Linked DNA regions of Pelodiscus sinensis. The protein of the gene in region 1 purifies or fractionates together with the protein of each later gene. This does not show direct contact. Links are inferred from orthologs where the notes say so. Each region holds a gene or a part of one and is shown in the gene's direction. Other genes may lie near its edges.

Region 1 (7,918 bases):
GTAGCTGTTGTTTTTTAAGTTTTTCCTGTTAAGACTACCCCTTTTTTCTTCCTCTCCTCCTTTTTTCTCCTTTTCTTTCTCTTTTTTTCCTTCTCTCCCCCTCCCTCCTTCCCTTATTTATTCTTGGATCTGGACTTCTAACACTCCTGTCATCTGAAGAAGTGGGTTTTGCCCATGAAAACTCATGATACCATCTACATGTTTTGTTAGTTTTAAGGTGCTACTAGTCTATTGTTATTTTTTAAGTTTTTCCTTAAAATGTTGGTAAATGTAACTTATGTCCACTTTACATTGCTTTGGCAGTAAAGGTCTTTAAAATGGCTTTACTGTAAATGAGAAGCAGGCCCATTGTCTTTATTGGGGATACGTCTGATTTACTCCATTATGAAATCAGACAGAGCTACATTGAACTGATAAATGCACACTGAGGATGTTTTAAGTCTATATTTTTAAACCAATTATACAAAATATGCATAAATTAAACAATGGACCAGGAAAAACAAGCAATTAACACCTTACAAACACATAGGCTTGGGCTGCTTCACCACCTCACCCCCTTAACACCTTTTGAGTAAATTTCCTGTACTTCAAGGCAGCTTAATTAATGCTGTTGAATCCTAAAAGCATTGTTGCAGAATTTGGTCTTCAGGCTTGTCTGCATGGGAGTTTTAACTGTTCTGCCAATGTAACATCCTATATGGACGCTTTTATGCTTGTTTTAAAGTATTTTTGTATTTGTGTAAACCACTTACTAGGGGATGTAAGCTAAATAGGATAAACACTTTGACACTGGGATAAGGGTGTCCCTGTGGGCATTTATGCTAATAGAAATGTATTGGTTTAAATTCACAGCTTAGGTTATAGCAAAAATCCCTTCTCCATGTTGGCAAGATCTCAGATACCAAACTTTTTAAATGGAGAAGTGTCTTCCAAAATATGTCAAGTATCAGAGGGGTAGCCGTGTTAGTCTGAATCTGCAAAAGCGACGAGGAGTCCTGTGGCACCTTATAGACTAACTGAAGTGTAGGAGCATAAGCTTTCGTGGGCAAAGACCCACTTCGTCAGATGCATGCATCTGACGAAGTGGGTCTTTGCCCACGAAAGCTTATGCTCCTACACTTCAGTTAGTCTATAAGGTGCCACAGGACTCCTCGTCGCTTTTCCAAAATATGGTTTCTGTAATTGCAAATATGGCAAAAATAACCTGAAGTTTGTTCAGATCCATCACCTGATTTCTGTGCTTAATTATGGTGATTATGAATGCTATTGTGGATGATTAACAGCACATGTTCATGAGTGTATCTTGAAAAAATGCAAAGTAATTAAAATTGTAAGTACGAAGTTTCTGATCTAGAAACAGTGCTGCCACGTTGATTTCATGAAAAACAGCATGGAGGACTGTGGCACTTTAAAGACTAACACATTTATTTGGGCATAAGCTTTCGTTGGGCTGGAACATGCTTCATCAGAATCACGAAGTGGAGACTTCAGATCAGTAAGTGTGTGTATGCAAAGATGTGGGTGTTACATTACTATGTGGAGGACCAGTGCTAGCGAAATCAGTTCAGTCTGGATGGATGCGGCCCACATCCAACAGTGAATGAGAAGGTATGAATACCAAAAGAGGGAAAATTATTTTTTGTAGTGAGTTTGTCACTCCCAGTCTCAGACCCAGTCTGGTCGTATCCAGTTTGCATATGATTTCATTAGCTTCTGCTAGAGGGAAAAAAGCATTCTTACAAGATTCTGCTCTATAGTTGTGTATTTATGTAGAGAACTTGATGAAATTGAGATGGCAATGAACTGAATATTCTAAGACCTTTGTTGAATGACTCATATTTGTATAAAAAGTTCAGCTCTGGAGTCCATACTCAGCAGAGCTCCAGAACTAAAATTGCAGGTTGTATGAGCTTGAATTTTCTGCGAAATTTGTCACTTCTTACAGTTTAAATCCACTGTGTAACAATGAGTAGTGCAGCCAGTATCTATTTGCCCAAGGCCTCTGCCTCACTCTGTGCTACATGTAACTTATTCAACTGTATTTTTGTATTGCATAGCTAACCTCCAGTGATTTTTTTTAAGTCTCCGCTGATGTGTGTACAATAAACATGTTACTATTTCAACAGGTACCGCAATGGCTGCAGGGGTCTTGCTGCAAAATGAATTGCCTTATTGTTCACTGGTAAAGAGCAGTGCATATCTTTCAACTATGAATTCAGGTAATCATTTTCTTTAATATGCCTTTTAAAAGAAAGTTTAGATGAGTTTTAAAAAGGAATCCCTGCTCTCTGTCCCTTCCCCACCCCCCCAAAAAGCCATATATATCCGTTATGGCTAGGTGGTGGGGATAATGTGTGTGTACATGCAGTACAAATAATTCATTGTGTTATTCAAACATGACTATGACCAGTTACCACCTTGACATGCTTTTCTTCCCTTTAGCTCTCTTGTGATAAAATTCTTGTGACCGAGGATGGTGCCATCTTTGGTTTTTGGAAATTGCTTAGACATCATGGGGTACCACAAAAATAATAAATATTAAAAATTGTATGGGCGATAATATTCTCGCTACATTGCGTGCCTGCACTGCTGCGCACAAAAAATTCTTCCCCCACCCACCTCCTCTGGAGAGCTGCGTGGCAGATGGCTGCTCTGGTGGGTGGGGCTAGCTGAGACAGTGTGGTGAGGGAGCCGCTGGGGCTGGGACGTGACGTGTGGCATTGGGTGGGCCTTCTCTGGTGGCCAGGGCTGCTACATGGGCGGGGGGGCGGGGGGAACGGGACCTGTTCTGGTGATGTTCTGGTGGCTGGGGCCAGGAATGGGACCTGCCGCTTGGGGGGGGGGGGCAAGGTCTGCTCCAGTGGCTGGGAATGGGACCTGCCACATGGTGAGTGTGAGGGGGCGGGGTTTCTGCTCTACTGGATAGTAACATTGTGTGTGTTAATAAATTGGGTGACACAGTGGCACACATCCAAACCAGTGCACATGACCTCAGTATTGGTGCACAAGCCAAAACTCATCCCGATCATGGTTGGAAAATCCTAGAGGGAACACTGGCAATAATTATGATTCACACATTTGGCTGAATACTTCCAAGAGGCATGGAAGTCAATAAGGGTGATTGCATTCAGCATTTTGCACACCTCAGTCTCATCCACTGCTGGCTCCGCTATAACTTTCTTGCATGTGACATATATTGGAGAAAAATGTTGCTGACTTATGAAGATTCATACAGAATTAAATCTAAGAAAGCAAAATCACTGATGAGCTAAAGTTTGATATATTCTCTGGATGTGGCCAGCATTTGAACCATCTCTAAAACAGACCCGTTAATCACAAATGATACTTAAACCTCAGCACTCGTGCATTATCCAGACAAAAATAACTCCTAAAATTTCAAACATCAGGACAGCTACAAGTAGTCGTTGGCAACAGATCCAGCAATTAAACAAACAAAAAAAAAAGCCTATGATCACCCGATAACAGACACCCCAGAAACTTGCCTTAGCAGCCGTTCAGGTCTAGAATGCTGCTTAATTCAAAGTGCTTGTTTTTCTTTTTTGAACATGTCAGATTTAGAAAAAGGGCTTGTAGGCAGCAGCTGTACGGTGGCGTGTGATTAGTTGAGGAGAGCATGGTTTGGTAGCAGACATGCATGGACAACAGCTAAGGAGCAGGCCTCAATACTTCCTCTCACCCCTGATATGAGCATTTGGGTTGGATCAGGGTAGCAAAGGTTCTTGGGCAACAGCAGCAGCCAAGGGAGCAGATTTTAGACGTTCCTCTTCCCTCCTGCCATCACTGGCAAGTGGTAGGCCTGGGAACAGCATCAAACCTCTCTGTGAGTCCTTACTAGCCAAGTGGTACATCTGTTCAAATTCCAGTCATGTCCTTCTTGTCTGTACCTAAAAGAGAGAGATCATTTCCTGACATTTTAAAACTAGAAAAAGCCACTTTTTATTTACAGGCAGTCCCCGACTTACGCGGATCCGACTTATGTTGGATCCGCACTTACGAATGGGGCTTTCTCGCCCTGGAGATCGAGGTGGCGGATTGCTGCCTGCGAGCTCCGGGGCGAGAAAGCCCCGTTCGTAAGCTGCTCCCGGTGCCCCTGGTCTGCTGGAGACCATCTCCAGCAGACCAGGGGCACCGGGACTGAAGCCGCAGCAGTGGCGGGTTCCCAGGCTTCTAAGGCTTTGCCAGAGCAAAGCCTCAGAAGCGCGGGAACCCGCCGCTGCTGCGGCTTCGCTCCCGGTGCCTGTGGTCTGCTGGGGACCGTCCCCAGCAGACCACAGGCACCGGGACTGAAGCCGCAGCCGCTGCGGGGTCCCTTGCCTCTGAGACTATGCCAGAGCGAAGCCTCAGAGGCGCGGCACCCCGCTGCCTCTGCGGCTCTGCTCCCCGTGTCCCTGGTCTGCTGGGGGGGGGGGGGGCGCAGCTAGTGTGCCCCCCCCAGCAGACCAGGCTTTTGTTGTGGACCCTGGGGCAGAGCAGCTGGGGCGCTGCCGATTGGTCCTGCAGCGCCGCTCTGGGCACTACTGGATCAACCCGGCAGCACCTCAGCTGCTCTGCCCCAGGTCCTGATTCAGCTGCTGCTGGTCAGTTTCAGCAGTGGCTGAATCAGGACGCCTGGGGCAGAGCAGCTGGGGTGCTGCTGGGTTGGTCCAGTAGCGCCAAGGAGCGAGGAGCGGTGCTACTGGAGCATCCCAGCAGCACCCCAGCTGCTCTGCCCCAGGTGTCCCCAAGTCAGCCGCTGCTGAAACTGACCAGCGCTGACTACAGGAAGCCCGAGGCAGAGTTGCTCTGCCCCAGGCTTCCTGGAATCAGCCGCTGATCAGTTTCAGCAGCAGCTGACTTGGGGAGCTTGGGGTTCTTAAGTTGAATCTGTATGTAAGTCAGAACTGGCGGTCAGTTTCAGCAGCGGCTGAATCTGGACGCCAGTTCCGACTTACATACAGATTCAACTTAAGAACAAACCTACAGTCCCTATCTTGTACGTAACCCGGGGACTGCCTGTACTTGGGTTCATCATGAAAGTTCAACTTCGGGAGGTATCGATTTCTGTGGGTACATACACAAGTCCCAGTGACATCAGATGGAAATCACATACCTGGACTGAGAGCCCTCAGAGAGAGCACAACAGGAGTAACATACTTATTAAGTCAGGTTATACTGATTTTTCTTCTGTCTTTTCTTTTCTCTATTTTGCCCTTCAAGATCTACAAGTTGCACTCTAACAGAATTGACAAGACAACTATTATTTTAAATTGTTTTTACAATCCTTACTCCAGGCAAGTGAAGGTTGCACCCTGTGATTTTTGAGATTGCCATAATCTTTCTGGCCAGCATGGAAGAAAAGGTGGAGGCAGTTCATAGCCCCATAACTACCTCTTCTACCTTTTGAAGCTTTGAACAATCAAATAATATGGCTACATCTCCCAGTAGTCTGCTTTACCTCAATCCAGTAGAGCCAAGAGGCATAGTTAATCAAAAGCTCTGCCCTGAAAAAAATAAACCTTTTGTTTTCAATAACAAACTGTGTTTTGTTAGTGGATATATATGGTCCACGATTGAGCAGGCTGCAATTCATCATGTATTGAATTTCAATAGCAACACACTAATTCCAATCATTACAGAACTAACAGTGCATTTTAGAGCAGCTAAGTGGAGGAGAAAAGGTGGTAATGGACTGACAAACTAATCAGTGGGGGAGTACTTACAGATTTCTAGGAAAGCAGTGCTCAAAATACATTTTGATTGTATTTTGGTATATAATATACTGTGTAGTGTGTGCTGAATGTACAATAATTGCAATTTACTGAAATATTCATTTTGTTTATGGAAAATTTCTCCAGTCCAGTTGCAGAATTATCTACTTGAAATGCAGCTATTCTCATCATCAGTGAAACAGTTTGTCCCAAGCAGAATCAATTCATATAGAATTTAGCTGCCACAAGGGTAGCTGGCATCAGTAGCTTCATTGTTTGTTACTATGGAGATTGCTCAGCCTATCCTGACTAGCTGTTAGATCATACAGAAAGATACATGTTTCTGTGTAACTTCGGCATTGAGCAAGTTGGATTTCAGATCCAGTTTGTTTTCTACAGCATTTGTAAAGTGTTGCAAAGGGTGAATAATCATGGAGGGTTCACCTAGGAGGCGCTCAGCTGTCAATATTTTTAGCAACTTTTTTCAGGGTCGGAGGCATTCTTCCTCTGATCCCCTTCTCCGCATACTCCAGCGACGCCGGAGCTCAGTTGTAGAGGTGCTCTCATCATCTACACACCGCGTTATGGTGGCCATATCATCTGTAAGCCCTGAAGAGCTGAATGCAACTTTTCCTGAGAAAAAAAGTGAAGTATTTCTAGATGATTGCCAAAAATCATACTTGGGTTTTATAGCTATGATGTACTAACTTTGTTCTGATGTTCAGAAGTATATAAGCATGTATAAATATTTCAAAATTATTTTATAGTAATTGTTTTATTATAGTATGTGTCGTATTTACTGATGTCTTACTCGGGGTTTAATTTGTACTTTATTTTTAACATGCAGAGCATTTCAGTTTGACACCTTGGTTTCAGAAAGTAATGAAAACAAAAGATAGCTTAACGTATCTTTGTGCAGGCATGCTCTACATTTCTAGATAAAAGGTGACATTTCCTTCATCAGGGAGGGTATCACATATCTATAATTTCATTAAGAAGAAAATCAAGCTGATGTCATGATTAACAGTACTAATATAAGCTTCGGCATTAATATAAGCAAAGAATGGGATATTTCCTGAGAATCCTTGCTACTTAAATCTCTTGAAAAATAGTTAATATACTATATTCTTGTAATTTAATAACCTAAAATGCTGTGTTACATTTAGGGTAGTGATGATAATTTGCTAATCCTATTTACTGTTTGTGTGTGTGTTTGTAGGAAATTCAAGGCGTCCAACTGCAAAATATACTAAAGTAGGGGAACGCCTTCGCCATGTCATTCCTGGCCATATGCAGTGTTCAATGGCATGTGGTGGACGTGCTTGCAAGTATGAAAACCCAGCTCGATGGAGTGTCCAAGAGCAAGCCATTAAAGGACTTTACTCTTCTTGGTAATATGTAACACTCACAGTTAAGCTTAGTGAAACTATTAGCTATGTTAGAGAATTTAAGGTAGTACATTTATATTGTATTTTTCTATGAAATATAGACTACCAAGTTACATACGGTGTGTACTGGAATAAAAGGTCAGTTATCAATTAATACTTAGCAGTAAGCCATAAAGGCCTTTATACAAAACTCATTGAAGTTAATGAAAGACTTTCATTGCCTTCAGTGGGCATTGGTTCAGATCCAAAATAATAAATGCCTGTCAACATGTTACATGACTGTTCTGAACTATAGAAGTTTGCCCTGAAATTTAAATATAGCTAAGTTAAAATATGTTCATGAGTTTAGATTAAAATTAATCAAAACATGTTAATGAAGATAATAAGTATAGATTCAATTAAAGCATTTTTCAATACTGTATGGTCATTGGAATGTATTTTAAAATTAATATTGACATTTTGTAAAAATTAGTTAAGAAGAAACATATAAAATGTCTTTGAATAGGAACACAGAAATTATGGTCTGGGTGCCATCTACTGAAGTTTTAATAATGTGCTCATTACTATGATATCTGAGCACCTCTAATAATGGTATATTGTTATGTAACTTAATTGTTTCAGTGGAATTTATAAAGCATGTCATTTAACTGATGAAAGAATTTTCAAAAAAAAGTTATAAATGCACTTTGCTAATTACAGGTAGCTTCCTGATAATGAAAACCAACTATATATTTTGGTAGTTTACCCAGGAAATCATCACAATGAAATATCCATCCAAATTATTAATTTATTTTTTCAGGATAACAGATAACATATTGGCCA
Region 2 (7,659 bases), on another chromosome or scaffold:
TTATCTAGTAAAATATGAACTAAAAGGCTACAGATGTCGTGGAAACCATCCTGAGGTGGGGGCGAGGGGAGAGCATTCAAACGGGGGGTGTGGCTAGAACAGAGAAATACTGGGTAAGTTGAATGAGGAATGTCATCAGAGGAGTGAAGAGAGACAGAGAAGACTCAACATCTGGCTGAAATAAGGAATGGGGCTGAGAAATACTTTGACAAATAGTTTAGGACAGAAATGATTGGTGCACTGAGAAGGCGGCTTTCTCGGGCACAGATGCTGAAATCTATTCCAGGCCTTTTTTAATGCGATACATCTAACAGCACAAATAAAACACACAACCTCCCCAGGATGGGGTTTATACCCGAATTCTTTAGAGAATATGGTGCTAATTCTTTAAAGCGCCGTGTTAATTTGTAACATGAATCAAAGGGAGCCCAAATCAGAACCTTTTCTCCAGCAGCTAGTGGACCCTGGGTACAGTTGTGGGTGCAGCACAGATGGCAAGTGCTGGCCAGAGAAATGAGCACAGCTGGTGCTGACAGGCACAGGGAAGTAGCAAGCAGCGGTTGATCAGAGGTGGAGGTGCAGTGTGCCCAGCAATAAGTGGGTATGCCCTGTTAGGGAACATAGTTGATGGAGACAGGGCAGGGGGGTAGGAGAAATGAATGTTTGTGGCAGGTGCTAGGAGGAGGTGTGGTGCAGTGGTCACAGGGAGCAGAGAAGTTGATGGATATTCAGTTGATGGGAAGGGCTGAGCAGATGTGCAGGTTCTGTGTAGAGTGGTAGGAGCTGGGGAGATTTGTGAATGCAGCTTACTGAGGTGCAGCTAGCAAGAGGTGGAGATGCATGTAGATGCAGTGGGCACAGCTGGGCAGATGTGCCGGTATAGTGAATACAGTGGGTGGGAATGGCTAGGACCATAGGTGTGGCAACTAGGGGTGTAGGAGTGCTGCAGCATCCCCTAGCTAGAAGTGGTTTCCATTATACACAGGGTTTCCAATTTGGTACAACAGCTGTCAGCACCCCCACTAAAAATTGTTCCAGCACCCCTGGCTGGGATGCAGCTGGCAGGAAGTGGGGACAGGTCTGAGTGCAGTGGGCACAGCTGGGAAGATGTGTGGCTGGGATGGGCTGGGATGCAGCAGGCAGGGGTGGGGTAGTGCGGGTGCAGTGGGCACAGCTTGGGAGATGTGTGAGTGCAGTGAGGACCCAGCTGGCAGGAGGTGGGGTGCAGTGGGCACAGCTGGGAAAATGTGTGGGTGCAGTGAGGACCCAGGAGGTGGGGTGCAGTGGGCACAGCGGGCACAGTGAGGATGCAGCCGGCAAACCGTGGGGATAGCACGGGTGCAGTGGGTGCGACTGGGCAAATGTGCGGGTGCAATGCACACAAGTGCGGGTGCAGTGAGGATCCAGCCGGCAGGAGCTGGGGCACAGCTGGGCAGATGTGCGGGTGCAGTGAGGCTCCAGCCGGCAGGAGCTGGGGCACAGCTGGGCAGAGGTGCGGGTGCAGCGAGGATTCAGCCGGCAGGAGCTGGGGCACAGCTGGGCAGATGTGCGGGTGCAGCGAGGCTCCAGCTGGCAGGAGCTGGGGCACAGCTGGGCAGATGTGGGGGTGCAGCGAGGCTCCAGCTGGCTGGAGCTGGGGCACAGCTGGGCAGATGTGCGGGTGCAGCGAGGATCCAGCCGGCAGGAGCTGGGGCACAGCTGGGCAGATGTGCAGGGTGCAGCGAGGATCCAGCCGGCAGGAGCTGGGGCACAGCTGGGCAGATGTGCGGGTGCAGCGAGGCTCCAGCTGGCAGGAGCTGGGGCACAGCTGGGCAGATGTGCGGGTGCAGCGAGGCTCCAGCCGGCAGGAGCTGGGGCACAGCTGGGCAGATGTGCGGGTGCAGCGAGGCTCCAGCTGGCAGGAGCTGGGGCACAGCTGGGCAGATGTGCGGGTGCAGCGAGGATCCAGCCGGCAGGAGCTGGGGCACAGCTGGGCAGATGTGCAGGGTGCAGTGAGCACAGCGCACGGGGCTGGTGAGCAGGAGTTCGCCGAGAGGCGCCAGCGAGAGCCGCAGGCGCGGACGCAACCGAACCAACCGTCTTCCCCGGACGCCCCTCCTGTCCCCTCCCTTCTCTCTGGAGTTCTCACCCCGCCCCTACCCCTCTCCGAGTGACGTCACCCCCCCAGCTCAGCCGGCGCCATTTTGAAACTGGAAGCTTGGAACGAGAAGGGGGGGGGGGCGGGCTGGCAAGGAAAGACCGACGCGAAGAGCGCGGGGGAAGCCGAACGGAGCCGGCTTCGCACCGCCCCCCCCCCGGGGGACAATCTGCCGCCATCCTCCCTCCACGCTCGCCACCCGCCCGGCGCAGCGGGCCGCCTGGAGAGCCGGGAGGCCGCTCTCTCCGACCCGGCCACTCGGGAGCCCAACATGGCAGGTAAGGGGGAGCGAGCCCCCTCCTTCCCGGGGGCCGGCCCCCGCTGCCCACAGAGCCCAGGGGGCGGGGGGAGGTCTGTGGAGGGGCAGGCGAGGCCGCTAAAATGGCCTTGAATCAGCCAGCCACGCTGAGCTGCTGCTGCCTGCTGTGCGTGGAGGTGGCATGGACTTGCTGGGCACCTCGGTCTCCTTTTCCTCCTTCCCTCTCTCTGGTGGCTATTCCTCCCTCGGAGTGTGGGCTCGGTTTCTCTTCCTCCTTTTTAAAAAATTTGCATTCCTAAAACCTTGAATCCTGAAGTGCCCTTTGCATTGCATACGCTTGTCCTATTTTTTTTTCCCCTTCTAGAAATCTGTGCTCCTTCCCCTCTTTTGCTTCCCTGCTTGCAACACATTTGTGTTTCACAAGGAAGAAGGTGGATGGAGGTCTGGGGGAAAAAGCCTTGTATTTCTGAAGTTCAGCGTGTTAGGAGGTTTCTAAGCTGGGTGTGTCTTTTTTTTTGGCTTCCCCAGACTTTCTGGTTTTGCGAGGAAATTGCACGTATGTGTTGTGTTGAAGGGGGTGCAGATCTGTACAGGAGAGTGGCTGTAGGGTGCAGATGCGATTGTGTTTAGAGTGCAGTTGCACCCTACTGTCGGGTGCAGCTATGTGGGTAGCTGCAGAGAAAGGTGAAATTGGGAAGAGGATGTAGTTTCTTAGAAAATTCAAGTCTCTCTGAGCGTGTGCAATAATGCATGGTGGTTGTATGTCTAATTTTCTTAATTCTGGAGATTTATGTTCATTCTCCATTTTTCAGGTTGTTTATCTTGCATCCTAAAGAGCAATTTGGAAGATAAAAATTATCCACATGCATAGGATGTCCCTGTCTCTTTCTTGTGGTGATATGTTCATTTCCCCCTTCTGCAAATTAATTGCCTCTTCAGTGCCATGCATTTTCTAGAGCAGCATGAGAGGCAGTATTTAGGTTTGCACCTTGCTTCCCACACGCGCACACACACCAGGCTATGTCACTCCACCCTTTTGAATCTGCTGAAACAAGGCCTTTAATGTAGCAAGTTGCATAAAAAATAAAATACAGTTTGCAGCATATAATGTTTTTTCTTGCAAACAGACATTCTCAAAATTTTTCCATGGTGTTAAAAGTAAGAGTCAAATACAGATGGGGGGAGGGGGGAGAGGAGAAATTGGATGGATAGGGGTTTTGGATGGTTGGTGAAAGATGCTGAAAGTGGGATACTTTCCCTATACATGTATCAAAAACAAATATTGCGGTTCATATTGTATAGATCAGCGTTTCTCAACCTTTTTTTTAAGTACCCCTTTAAAAAAAAAAAAAGTACGCCCAGTACCTACAGTTATATTTTTTTAAAGGGGTACTTAAAAAAAAAAAGGTTGAGAAACGCTGATCTTTACAATATGAACTGCAATATTTGTTTTTGATACATGTATAAGTACCCCCAGTACCTACAGATTTCAGACACACTTTTTTTTCTACCATTGCAGGACATTTATTTACACAACTTAATCGTAGCCAGGCGGGCAATGAAATTTTTGGGTGTAAAAAGTACAAAAATAATAAAGCACTGTAAAATTTAAAAAAATTCAGTTTTCTCCAAATTTCAGTTGTGTTGACGTACCCCCCTCCAGACTTCTCTTGTGTACCCTTAAGGGTACTCGTACCACTGGTTGAGAAACACTGGTGTAGATTGATATCATGATAAGATTTCCCCATCACCTTGGCTGATTCTAGTTCACGTTGTCTTTCCTAATTCTTGGACTTTGTAAGAAGCTCCAAAAAGATATTACAATCTAATCCTTTTTGGTTTATTCCTCCGCCTCCCCATGCCCTCTTTGCCCGAGCAGCCTCTTGATCCCTCATGGAGAGAGGGATCATCCTGCTGTTGCTAACTTGAACTTAAGTTAATTTGTTCCTCAACTTGGTGTGGGTGGGGTAGGGAAGGATCCTTCCTGCATGTCCCCTCTTGTTCCCCAAAAATGTTGCATCACATTAATGCCTCACAAGATACATCTGTTCTTTTTTGGTTGTGGGTTGAGAAGGAATTTCCATTTTGATATCCTCTTGCAGACAGAGCAAACTTGTTTCAATTTCTCTTCCTGTCTGGACCCCAGCCCAGTGATTTGCTAAGAATGAAATGCAAAAGAAAGGGGTGGATTTTTTTTGTGTGCTTTTGGGTGGTGAGGTTCAAATGAATCACTACCTTCTGCGGAGGTGGTAATGTTCCTGAAGTTTTCTCTTCGACCCATTTTCTACGGTAGTTATACTTGCTGTTAGCTTAAGGCAGATTGTTCAGTTTGCTGCACAGATTCCTTGCTTTTAAAAAAATCTAAGCCTGACAATTTCTTTAGCTACTATTACGACAGAGGAGGGAAGAGGTTTATAAACTTGCTTTAAAACTTGTTTCCTCTAGTCTGAAGTACTTAAGCGGTATAAAGTATTTTGCAAAAGAAAAATTGTTTCCTTTTTTTTTTATAAAGTGCCAACATTTAATTATTTGAAATATTTGGAAAACTTGTTAGGGCCATTCTCGCACCTAATATTTTACTTTGAAATTTAAGTCCCTTGTAAGTGAAGTGCTCTATGTTTTAGAGGGCACTGAAGTTTTTATATTAAAAAAGTGTTGTGAAATATACCAGCTGTTGCTCATTTTTAACATAACGTAGTTTTATTAACACTAGCCGTGCTTGTTTTGATAGTTCTGTGAGTTTTTTCATCAGTTACAAAGAGCAACTTTTGTCATTCTATCATTACTGTTGACAGATGTTGCTTTAAATATTGGGCAAATCACGGGCAAAAGCATTGTCAGGGCGGGGAGGCGGTGGGTGGTGGAGTTGCAGAGAGACAGTTTGTAATCAAGTTTTGGAACCTATGTCTTTGCATAAGAAATTTTGATTGTTGTAGGTGTGTCCAGTACTGACTAAATTGTGTCACTTGCCAGCGGTGGCTACCATCTCCGTTTACTGGAATCAATTATTTGTTTTGCTTTCTCTAGGAGCTGGAGGAGGAGGGAATGACATTCAGTGGTGTTTTTCTCAGGTGAAAGGGGCTGTAGATGATGATGTAGCAGAAGGTAAGAACAAACTTCTTCACAGTGACTACATCTGATTGCTGTTGGTTAAACTTAGCAAGGGTGTTGCTGAAGTATTTCCTCCAAAACTGGGTTTTACTGAACGTCATTTTAGCCAAATCAGTAGTGCCACAAGACCACTCATTGTTTTTGAAGTTATGGACTGACATGGCTACCCCTCTGAGATAATTTTAGCGAAGTAGGAAAGCAAGTAGAAACATTGTCATTCCAGTATATTCTGGGATCCGATTTGTATATGGTAGAAGTGCAATTCAGCTGATATCCCTGGTCCTCCTGCTGTTTGTTAGAATTGAATTTGCCCCATAGATTGCAACACTAGTTAACTTGTTTTCCAAAATATCTGTCACATGACACGTAATGGCCATTGAGACTGAGGGACTAACTTGTCTGTTTTCCCCATCAGTGAAATGGGAATAATGATATTTTTCATAAATTCTCGCAACAACCCTCTAAAGAATGTTTGCACAGCACCTTGAAGATGTAATGTATCTGACACTATGCAAAACATCTCCCAGTCTTTCCATGCTGATTTATAAATCAGAATTACAAGCTTTTTTTGTACAAGCTTTTCAAGTATCAGTTATTTTTCATGATGAATTATTAGTGGAAACTGCCTCTACACTTTCGTAGTATAAGGTTCCTGTTAGGGATGTGAATGTGTACATGGTTAATCCATGAGCCTGGGCTCATGAGTTAACATGCACAGTTACACACAGTCCTTCCCCTCACCTGTCGCGGCTGCATAGGTGGGGTGGCGAGAGCTGGTGCATGCAGGGAGCTGGCTTTTAAACTGGCTCTCCGTGTGTACCAGCTCCCACAGAGCCGCCTCCCTGTGCATGTACCCGCTCCCATGGAGCCATCTGCCTCTGAAATATCTGGAAATGGTGCTCTTCAAAAGTTTTGTGTGATGCTTAGCAACTGAAAGGCTTTAGAAACAAATAGGTTGTAACAGATTTCAATAACTTCTAATATATTTTGCCTAAGATGGATATATTTTAAATTGTTCAGCAATTAGCATTCAAGATTGAATGTTAATGGCAATTTAGATAATGGTTGTATAGTTTTTTTCCTACCAGACTTCAATTTTTATGGATTTTGTTTGGTATTCTGTAGCTACCTGGCTTTTGAATTAAATGTAAACAATTGAGGAAATCTTGACTCTGCCTATTTTCCACTGATAGATGAATCCTATGAACAGGACGGAAGAATATTAGAGCTTTTCCTTTTATGTTCAGGCATCTGTTCCGTTACATATAGTAATGGGTGGTAGTTGTTAATAAGGTTTTTATGGGGGTGAATTTTTGTGTTGCGTGTGTGGGTGTGGTGGGATTTTTTTTTGTATTGTAGTAAACAGCTGTGATTAAATGGCTCTTCCAAAGATCTGGAAATCCAAGAGCCAGACTTATTTCTTAATTTCCCCTCTTGGTTCTTAAATATTATAGTTCCTACACTGAGTATGAAAGATGATTTAACTTCCTGACAGCTGCAATAGCTAGCCACAATACCTTAACTCAGGGTTTCCCAAACTTTCTCAGCCAGGGAGCCTCCATGGGTCCTGAAAATTTTGTGGAGCCTTAAAATTTAATGATTTTTAATTTAATAGGTACCCAGATAGACAGACAAAGTTTAGAAATTCTGTTTTTATTTCTTGTTTATTTCTTAATTTTCTGAAGGGGGGGGAATATATATCAGAAAATTAGTGACAAAATAACAGGGTCATACAATTGTTGTTAATATTTTCTCAAGCAGCTGCTGGACCCCAGGGCTCCACAGAGCACACTTTGGGAAACCCTGCCCTAACTAACTTGCATTTCAACATGACTGTGTTGCTTTTAACAAATTTTTGTATAAATATCTGGTTTTAATTGTAAAAAGGATCTGAGTTGCTCATTGTACAAGCTTTTTCTAGATAGAGACAAGAGTATGACTTCATAGTCAGCTTATATCATCTTTTTGGAAAGGCTTTTTTAGTGTTCAATGGGGGAGAAGAAGACTGGGATTTTGAAGACAGGGATTTTTTGTAGTCGAGATGTACACTGGAATAGCTGCCTAAGTAAGGTCCTAGGAAAATTAAATGGGGCTAACCGACCATAGTGGATTTTGTTGAGTGGGAATTTTTACCCATATGGATGACTCTGAT

What was found. The genes of interacting proteins can lie anywhere in the genome.
Region 2: the proteins of PTPDC1 (region 1) and PPP2R2A purify together in Homo sapiens (affinity purification with mass spectrometry; 4 studies listed by BioGRID and IntAct, counting the BioPlex papers as one, with this or other methods). This does not show direct contact. The link is inferred for Pelodiscus sinensis from reciprocal best matches to the Homo sapiens genes PTPDC1 and PPP2R2A.

The regions. Positions count from the first base shown.
Region 1 is NC_134721.1:50,157,813-50,165,730, reverse strand, and holds the start of PTPDC1 (protein tyrosine phosphatase domain-containing protein 1), read left to right. Parts: upstream 1-4,914; 5' UTR 4,915-6,139; coding exon 6,140-6,353; intron 6,354-6,927; coding exon 6,928-7,099; intron 7,100-7,895; coding exon 7,896-7,918. UniProt on the Homo sapiens protein: May play roles in cilia formation and/or maintenance.
Region 2 is NC_134738.1:8,923,514-8,931,172, reverse strand, and holds the start of PPP2R2A (serine/threonine-protein phosphatase 2A 55 kDa regulatory subunit B alpha isoform), read left to right. Parts: upstream 1-4,563; 5' UTR 4,564-4,648; coding exon 4,649-4,685; intron 4,686-5,423; coding exon 5,424-5,501; intron 5,502-7,659. UniProt on the Homo sapiens protein: Substrate-recognition subunit of protein phosphatase 2A (PP2A) that plays a key role in cell cycle by controlling mitosis entry and exit. Involved in chromosome clustering during late mitosis by mediating dephosphorylation of MKI67.